Linked DNA regions of Arabidopsis thaliana. The protein of the gene in region 2 interacts with the protein of the main gene of each other region in a pairwise test. Each region holds a gene or a part of one and is shown on either strand. Other genes may lie near its edges.

Region 1 (5,702 bases), on a different chromosome or scaffold from region 2:
TTCCCCATTCATCAATCACATCAAACCCAAGAGAATCCACATAAGCTCCTTCAACTTTCTTTCTATACCAAAGGTAATCCACCACAACATACTGTATCCAAATCAACACACACAAACACAAGCAATTAAAAACCTAAACTTTTACATTCTAAAGGATAAAGAAACTCACAATTACCTGATAACCATGAGGAAGAAGACGCTTAGAAACAATTTCAGCACTCTGCAAGAACTCAGCTTCAGAGATAGTCCAACAAAAGGAATCGTACGAATTCCATCCTCTTGGAGGAAAGCTAGCATGTTGTTGCCTCGACCTTGCTTCAATCGATAAACTGAAAAAGACGAAACTTTTGTGATTGATCGATCACTCAAACACCACCCACTCAAAAACCAAAATCAAATTCAAAAACCCAGTGAAGCGGAGTACCTAAAAATGGATAGATTAAAGATGATGAAGAAGACAGTGGACCGGGTCGACCCGGTTTTCTCTACGGATAGTCCGGTCATAGAGATGAGAACTGATTACGATAGCTTCTGATTTTGTTTTCCTCTTTTGTTGTTGAGAACCTGAGAGTAAGAGAGAAGACAACACGCAATGGTTGTGTTAATGGCGGGTACTATTAGAGAGCGTGACAAAAAATTAAGAATTGGATTAGTAACCGTTGAGCTAATTTTCTTTTAATTAAAGTTTAGTGCATCAATTTGATCAAATTTAATATAAAAAAGAAACTTTTTTTTCATCACTAGGAACTTTACATAATATCAAAATGATTACAAAGATGGTAAATGAAGACTTCAAAGATTTGAAAGGTCAAAAAAGAAGAAGAAGAAGAAGAAAACTACGAATCTCTATAGTTTGTTGCTCCTCATCAGACAAAATCCAAGACCAAACAAAAGCATCATCATCAAGCTTTACACATGCATGGAGTGAGAGGATTTTCCCAAAGATCATAGTTAGGGAAAGTTTCTTCAGGTAAACCGGTTCGTGTTTGATGGGTTACAACTACATCTTCCACAAAAGTTGCCCATCCCATGTAAGGATCCCCAAATGATTTCGACATCAACCCTTTATCCGGTTTGATTGATTTCTGGCGATGCCCCATATATCTACGCGCTCCGATGATCAGTTTTGCAAAGTTTCCACCGTGTGTCATCACAAATACATCTGATTTCAAGCACACCAAGAAATCTAGAGCCGCAAGACTTGTAACGTGTTTTCTAAACGTTGTTAGTTCCTCTTTGCCTGCTAAATCCTCCTTTGTTACCTGATTCAAAGGACAGTTAATGTGAGAGACAAGTTTGTGCTGATTCATCAAAGAATTATAAGAGTCCGGTGTTGTGCTTACCAAATTTGGGAACATGTTTCTTAGTGGAGCCATACGGTTTTGACCGCCATAGACTTGACCAGATGCAACATAGATTTGTGTTTCTTTTGGATAGCCCATTGCACGTAGGATCACAGCAACTTCTCCTGGCTCAAGAGGGCATCGACCTTCTTTGCGCTTCTGCAAGGCGAGCTGCCAGAGATGGGAACCATTCTGCAATATATGTCAAGAAATTTCATTAAGGTAGCGGTTGAGGTTGTTTAGCCACCAAAAGAAGTTGACAACTGCTTATAAATGTCACCTTGAAACGCCGAGGCCATTCCTTTTGTCTGTATTCTGCCATTTTAACTTTCTCTTCCCTTGTCCCCACAAAATCACAGAACGATAGACCAACCATTCCTTTCTCGAATCTAAGATGAAGAGCCCTATACAAGAGACATGGGTATAGTTTTAAGTTGATATAATGCATATGGTCCTAAGTTATAACAAAGTCGAATCTCTGATATGGCATACATATATGGATTTGGATTTCCAGTGCGATTTCTCATTCTAGAAACAAGTGAATCAGCCATCTGCTCTATCTCTGGAAGAAATTTGAGAGCATGATAATTTACACGGCATCGTAATCTGTTGATTTCTTGAGGTACATTGTCATACCTGAAAAAATTTCCAGCATCACAAGAATAAATCATTCATTGTTTATAAGACGATTTCCAAAATCTGAGCACTAAACTATAGGAATATTGGTTATACCCAAGTCGATCGACAAAAGGCTTCAAGGCCATTATCTTCTTCTCCTTTATCCGAGGTAAAACATTGTCAATATAAAATTGGGCTGCTGCATATTTGGGAATGTTTTTGACTGTTCTTCTGCAGAAGATAAATAAATAACTTGGTCAACATCATATCTGATTAAAAAATACAGATCGATTTTTAAATCAGAGATATACACAAGGAGCACCCAGTGACGCCATAATTCCACAAGCTAACTTTTGAAATCGTCCAACAAGTACATCATCAACAAATAATGAGTTGACAAGCAAACCTTATACTAGAGAATAGCTCTGCTTTGTCAGTGAACCAGTCAGGTATGTCTCGAACAATTCGGACATCATCCTTCAAGTAATCAATGAAATGATCTACATCAAAAATGTCTTCAAATTTTCTGCAAAAGAAAGTTAACAAGCTCAGTAAACCAAAAAGAAAATAGAGAAGTAATTCAAGATGAAATGAAATCAATATCTGAATATGATTTTACGTTGTGTCTTTCCATATTTGGTCCTGCTTCAGTACTGGTAGAATCAGTGTTGCATTCATAATCTTGGCAACAGCTACTGCGTTGCAGATCTGGAAACAAAAGGGCATGAATTCAAGATTGGACGATGGCAAGAAGAACAACAGCCATTTAGACATTGATCCATGATTGGATAATGGCGAGAAGAAAAAGAGATAAAAGTTGGAAGATACATACAGCAATTCGCTGCTGATTCAAACCACCTTCAGCATGAATGAATACATAGCCATTTGTTTCATTCTCAGGAGGAAGATCTGAAAAAAACAGTTGACACAATCTAATAAGCTAACCAAGGAAAAAGACTTGAACTTTCACGAAAAGACAGATCAATAACACATGACAATGTGTTTCGACGAAAAAAAAAAAATAAAAAAAAAAAATAACACATGACAATGAAAATGACAATGCTCTAGCCCTTCAATACCTGAGATTCCACCAATCCGCCGCTCAGCACAAGGCTTCCAAGAAGTTGTTGCAGATAAAGGATTCTCCCAAGGAGAAGGTGACTCTTTTACCTTACAAATGCAAACCAACACACAATTAAATTTACAGGATTCAAAGCTTATGCATTCAACAAAACACATAACCAAAGTTTTCAAACACTTACATGAGGACAGTTTAGCACAATCCCATCTTTTTTACATAAATAAGGAGCATTCTGCAGAAGATAGACATAGAAGCAATCTTAGTCTGAGAACAATGTCAATCCAAATCCACCTAAATAAACAAACCCCTTTACTCAAAACAAAGCTAAATACTTTTCCAAATCGATTCCACAGTTAGAACATAGAGCCTTGAAGATCTCAATTCCTAGATCGAAGGAAGAGACTTACCAAGTGATTAATAATCCCATAAACTGAGATCAAGCTAGCAATAGCGAGAATCAAAATCAATAGAAGCGAGATTTTATTCTTCTGAGGAGAAACCCTAGGATCATCACCGAAGAAAGGAAACAAAGAGTGAAACCAGATCGGACGGTCTCGATCTCTAGAAGGATGACGTGGGCGACCATCTTCGTCGTCTCCGCCGTTAGGAGAGTGATCGTGTACATGAGGCGATGAAGAATCCTCATCTCCGGCGGCACGTAACGGAGAAGAAGAAGATCGGCTACCGAGAGAGCTCGAGTGCCGTAACTCTGCCATTGCTCGCCTCGGACTAAAAGTCGCCAGCTTAATTTCTATATCCTCTCTTCCTTTTCTTCCTCTTCACTTTCTCTGTAGATAGATACAGTGCTTCTTCAGCTCTACTATGTGGACGCTGCCATTTGAGAGAGAGCTTGGAGATTCGAACACTCCACAGAGAGAGAGAGAAATTAAAGAAGCTTTTTTTTTTTGAAAGGCTTGAATGTTCTTCTTTAAAGTCAATACTCTCTGAATCAAACAGAAGATTAGATTTAAGGATATTTACAAAAACATCCCTATATCTCATAAAACTTACATAACCACCCCTATATTAGTAAATTCTCTGGTTTTTATCTCATTTCCTCCATCGCCTCTTTTTTAACCTAGACATTCTCCATCATCACTCAAATTGGCTCTTTGATTCTCTCCGGCGAGATTCCGACCGGTAAGTCGAATTCAGATCCTATCACTGTCTCTCGTCAATCTCATTTACGTTTTCAGAAACATACTTTTTCAGAAAACAAGTAAAAGAGATGAACACGATAGCGAAGCGAGTTACGGGGTTGGTGACTCGTCCGAGTCTAAACCAGCAGTTGCAGCAAGAGCGAGGGATAAGAGTGAAGGTGTTCTCCAATGATTTAGACAAGGCACTGACGATTTTGCAGAAGAAGATGCAATCGAGTGGAATGGAGAGGCTGATCAAAGGGACTCAGACTCATCACATTAAGAATTCGGAGAAGAAGGTTCTCGCTAGGAAGAATCTTGAACGCAGAATCAAATCCATTGACTTTGCTCGAAAACTCCAATCAATCCTCATCAAGAAAGTCAGGTAATGTTTTCTGATTTTTCTCAAAAGCTTCACATTTTTTAGGGTTTTAATGGTGTTGTTTAGTTTAGTAAGATCTTGCGTATTTCTTATTGTTATTCTTTGCAGAGGTTTATGAGAGCTGAGGTGAAGCAAGAGTGCTGCTATGTTGATCAGTACTAGTATCTGTGTGTGATATAACACAGTTTTACATTTTGAACTTTTGATGAGTTGAATCAATGTGGAATTGGAATTTTGGATTTGATTAGTTGTTTACTCTATGGCTTCTCTTTCGTAAGTTTTCAATGATCTTGAGAAAGAACATCAGATCTTAGGAGTACATGTATTGAAAGTTGTTTCAGGGCAAGTGCGTTGCTTCTCCTGCACTCTGTATGACTGTGTTCTGTGGGTCTCTGTGCTTGAATTGTGTTTCTTGTTCCGGCCATGATTACTCTGAGATTGTTCTGCTTTCTTCGCGTGTAAAGCGTAGGTTAGCTCTTTCCAGGCGTTTACACTTTCATTTTATGTATATTCATGTTACTATATACCATGCCATGCCAAAGAATGGGGATAAGAGATATAGGAAGAACAATTGCACCGAAGATCGTGGAAAATACCTTTTGTATGGGTTTAGTTTTCAGTTTGCTTCCAGCTTTTTTACTAGTATCTGTTTGGTCAGGCTCGATTGGTAGTTGTCTTTGTCAACGTTTGCAGTAACCGGCATTGCAGAGTTGGTTTCATGTTTGATGCTGCAGAAATTGAGCAGAGAACAGAGTATCTACCTGCAGAAGCAACGTGTTTCGCATCAGATTTGCGCTAACTAATCTGCGGCCTTCTTGATCTATGGGAGACATATCTTAACATGTTCATAGTTTACTGACATATTCGACAAGTTTTCGTAAGTTGCTCTGAGAATCAACATCTTTCCCCTGGAGTGAGCTGAAGTAGAAAGATTGACATATTCATGACTGTTACTGTAAGTCCTTAACCCTGTCTCTCCTAAAATCGAGATCTTTTTATTTGGGTTTTAGATAAATTGGACCGAGTAATTACAATTTTCTTAAAAAAACTTTTGAATGAGAAAAAGATACAGAGAATGTTTTTATACTTTTTCATGAGATTAGAAACTGATTTTAATTTTAGTGCAAGGAATCTACAAC
Region 2 (4,146 bases):
GGATCGATCAAATTCAGCTGTGATGACGAAATATGTGAGCTCGAGGGATAACTTGAGGATTCTCATGAATCTTCTAAGAGTACGATGCTTTACTCTCCGTTTTTTTGTTCTTGATTATAATAGTTTGGGAAATAAACTCAATCGCTTGAATTACAGGAGTCAAGCAAGAGTATCCAAATAGAAGCATTCCATGTCTTTAAGGTACCTACATTAACGAGATGTAACATAATGATGATTGTCACTTGTCAGTCCAACGTGATTGTACTGAGATTATCGTCACTGTTGTGCAGCTGTTTGCAGCGAACCAAAACAAGCCTGCGGATATAGTCAACATTCTGGTGGCCAACAGAAGCAAGCTTCTGAGATTGTTGGCTGATTTGAAACCAGACAAAGGTATGAAACTAATCTTGTTAAGTGAAACGCTTGTATCCGATCCTTCTGCTCCTTAACCTTATTAAAGCATTGTTTGGTTCATTTGGTTGACAGAGGATGAGAGGTTTGAAGCAGACAAAAGTCAGGTTTTGAGAGAAATCGCAGCCCTTGAACCTCGAGATCTTGCTTGAACCAACTAATGCAATTCATCCTTCCTTCCCTTTTAAAACACTCGAAAAGACATTTTTGAAGCATCTTGTTGTTTTTTTACATTAGGTAACCAATCTTCCTCTCACTTTCTCACCACACACACACACACACACACACACACACACACACATACACATACGAGATATCTATTCGATATATGTATTCATATGTACACTACTTCACTGTCGATGAAATAAAATGGTTTGTCAAAAGCTCACATCATGAATGTTGTAAAAGAGCACAAGAGTCTTTCAACTTCAACAACTATTAAACATCAAATGTATTAACTTAATCTCGAAAACAAACAAAAATTAACAACCACAAGCCCATAATGACCAAATAAACCAGAACATTTTACTCTAATCTTTACAGAGTCTACACGTATAGAGACCGACCATCGTTGCCTACTCGTTGACTTGTTTTCGCAGATGCCTCTGCTTTCCCTCTCTTTATGACTACATACCAAGTAAACCCTTCGAGCACAACCGCGACTATACCTAGTACTACGATTATGGCGGTGTAAGCGTTTCTCCACTGCTTCTCAGGGCTCAGGATGTCTAGTCCTTTAAAAACGTTTACCACCGCAAGAATGATCACTGAATAGCCTACAGTGTGGTGATAAATGTTCCAGTAGACTCTGTACTTGTGCTCTGGTTTGGGTCTCAAAAACATTGCAAACACCTAACGTGTGAAACAAGCAACTTAGTAATTGCAACATATTCATGACAAGTGTAATACTCTCTGTACTGTTAACTAAAACCTACCTGAATTGTTGCGAGGCAGAAGAGAGCGATCCCAACAGCACGGTGAAAGGTAAACTGAATCCCGGCTGATTCGTTGCCCAGTTTGAGACCGGTCGCCCAACCGGCAACACCAATGATGTAAGCAGAAGACTGGCAGAAAACATGAAGGTAGAACCAAGCAGGATCTGCTGATTTTGAGACTTTCAAGTAGCGAGCAATGATTGCTCCTATTGGCATCATTATACCCCAGCTCACACCGTTCAATATTCCATGTATCTGCAATAATGATTAGGAGTGATAAGTTTCATAAAACCAACTAACAATGATGGGATTGATAAATCTCATTTCATATGTGAGATTCCTAAAAAACATGAAATGAAGAAATTGATAAAACCATGGACTCACGTTGCGTTTGCGTAGCTTGGAAGCTCCTCCTGCTCCGGTAGAGGTGGATCCAGATGCACCAGAGACAAGGTTAAGAGTAGAAACAGAACGAACATTGTTGCCAGAAGTTGGATGAGGCAGAGGATTGTTCCCTGACAGTGACCCATCTTGCCACACAGTGTTAATGATTCCACCATTCGCAAGTGGAAGATTCAGAATTGCGTAGATGACCATCTCGTTGTTTTGGTAAGTGGCAGACAACTGAGAGACGTTGAAACTCAGCTCAGCTTCTAGGAGACTCGTTTGGTAGCTACTGATGGGTGACGTATAAGCCCTAACGGTGCCGTCTGATTGTGGATAAGCCACAATGGCTTGAGCTCCGACCATGCCAGTAGATGTGGGATTCACGGCCCATGCCACCCATTTCCCGGGGGTGAGCTTTGTGTGGCGATACGCGATTTGGAGATTGCCTGAAGAAGAATCGTAAGTGTAGTGGAGGAAGGAATCAAGAACAGGTAGGTCGTTGCAAGACTCAAAGAGACGGTTGGTGGAGAATTTGTAGTTGGAACATTTCTGAGCCAAGGCGGATTTGGTGATGATGAAAATGAAAAGAGAGAGACAAAGGAGAAGATTTGAGGATATGGCCATGGAAACAGAATCTCGAGTAATGATTAAAAGATGGATGAATGATAAGATTTAAGTATGAAGGGGAAGAGAGGAGAATGAGATTAAGTATGAATAGAAAGTGGAACAAGTAGGGTTTGGTTTGTTAGTTAATCTGTCTTAATACAGAATCTCTAATTCTCTTCACACGTGTCCTTTTTTCATAGTTTAATCTTTCTTTTAATCCTCTGCTTTTGTTCTTGTTCATCTATCAATTGCAATGTTTTACCTAAGAGTAAAAAATAGAAACATTATAAATGAAGCGTTCATTGTTTTCCCAAAAAGGTTTGACGTGTAATGTATTTCTTCCTTAAGAGTCTTTAACCCTCTCAAGCAAAAACCAAGAAATAAAAATATGAAGGGGTCATCTTCACGTTCAAAAACCAGTTCACACCAACTTTATTACGAGAACTCATTTCTCGTGTTTATTTTTTCTTTGTTTGTCATGAAAAATCTTTTTCATTGTATATAGGTTTTGTCATGACATTGCGCGTTAAGTTAGATTATAATCTTGGTACGCTTGGGAATTGGGATGATGATAAATTATTGAGCACACTAAAATATTAGGTTTCATTGGGTTTAGTGGTTCAATTGACGAAAGTAGACTAGCGAAGGGAGTAGTGGTTTTCGCGTAATAAAGGGCAAACACGTCTATGCCTGCAACTACTAACGTTGTGCATGTATGATGTACCCTAAGTAAACATCTACCACCTTATGAGTATGGACTGGAGCGGACCAGACCAACAAACTGTTTATGAGAGATTCCAATCCAAGGGAAGTGGTTGGGTTTAGCTATTTTTAGAGTTATGTTCTTCTATATATAGGCCGCGACCAACATTTCAACGGTTAAGACCATGTACATGAGTGATATTTTTAGAATATCATCAGTGTAAAAATTATTTTTTTATTAACCAAACAATTAGAATGAGTTTGATTAGTATCATTCCAGTGATTTTCTTGATATCAGTATCATCTACGTGACATCTCCTGATTGGTAGCATTTATTAAAAGTAAGAAAAAAAATATTTATCTATTAAACAAACATTATAAATAATACTAAAATTTTTTTAATGATACTTTGAGAATATCACCTATAAGCATGCTCTAACCAGGTGGATGTATAATAATGTCCTTTCTTGGTCAACGCTCAAATTACTACCTGCCACATGTCCCCCACTAGATTCTTTGGTGTAGCTGGGCTCAGTTTGAACTAGACTCTTTTATATGGGCTTAAGTGTTAATTATCAAAAAACAACCCAAAATGAGATATTTAGATATAATATGTTTTTGATGGAAAAAAAGGAAAGATATAATATGTTTTTTTGATGAATGAAAAGTATTACAATTATTCAAAAAATCACTAGTTTCCTGAAAAACAATACAAATTGCATAGTTTCAGAAGGATAATCTGATTTGGGTAGAGTTTGTTGATGTTAGAAATATAAATATTTTCTTTTATAAATAAAATAGGATGGAAAATCCATCATATTTGAAAGTTTTGTTGTGTCTAATAAATAACAGTAGAGTGTACATAATCGGTAACTTTTTTTTCCTTAACTAAAATTTTAAGTGAAACTAAAACAAAGGTGGTAAAAAAAAGTAGAGCCTATGGTAAAATAGGGTAAGAGGGTCCATAAGGGCCCAAGATGTTTTATTTTTGCTGAGCCCATTATTACCAATCCGAACCGAAATGGAAAAACTCCGGTCTCTTTCTTTCTCTCTCTCTCTGCCAGAGTTACTGCGTGTCTTTGATTTCCCAGAAGAAGGCGTTGAA

What was found. The genes of interacting proteins can lie anywhere in the genome.
Region 1: the proteins of AT5G47530 (region 2) and AT3G26370 interact in a protein complementation assay, tested with the Arabidopsis thaliana proteins (one large-scale study listed by BioGRID).

Annotation. Positions count from the first base shown.
Region 1 is NC_003074.8:9,654,942-9,660,643, reverse strand, and holds AT3G26370 (O-fucosyltransferase family protein), read right to left. Parts: upstream 3,965-5,702; 5' UTR 3,759-3,964; coding exon 3,450-3,758; intron 3,275-3,449; coding exon 3,224-3,274; intron 3,132-3,223; coding exon 3,041-3,131; intron 2,871-3,040; coding exon 2,794-2,870; intron 2,670-2,793; coding exon 2,581-2,669; intron 2,488-2,580; coding exon 2,368-2,487; intron 2,193-2,367; coding exon 2,076-2,192; intron 1,980-2,075; coding exon 1,836-1,979; intron 1,748-1,835; coding exon 1,624-1,747; coding exon of another isoform or gene 1,561-1,623; exon of another isoform or gene 1,536-1,560; coding exon 1,344-1,535; intron 1,263-1,343; coding exon 903-1,262; 3' UTR 699-902; downstream 1-698. Other genes in the region: AT3G26380 (Melibiase family protein), read right to left, coding at 1-91, 176-329, 425-504; AT3G26360 (Ribosomal protein S21 family protein), read left to right, coding at 4,271-4,566, 4,672-4,681. UniProt on the Arabidopsis thaliana protein: Glycosyltransferase involved in the biosynthesis of pectic type-II arabinogalactans.
Region 2 is NC_003076.8:19,279,682-19,283,827, reverse strand, and holds AT5G47530 (Auxin-responsive family protein), read right to left. Parts: upstream 2,455-4,146; 5' UTR 2,358-2,454; coding exon 1,731-2,357; intron 1,602-1,730; coding exon 1,347-1,601; intron 1,264-1,346; coding exon 958-1,263; 3' UTR 767-957; downstream 1-766. Other genes in the region: AT5G47540 (Mo25 family protein), read left to right, coding at 1-79, 157-201, 291-393, 487-563. UniProt on the Arabidopsis thaliana protein: May act as a catecholamine-responsive trans-membrane electron transporter.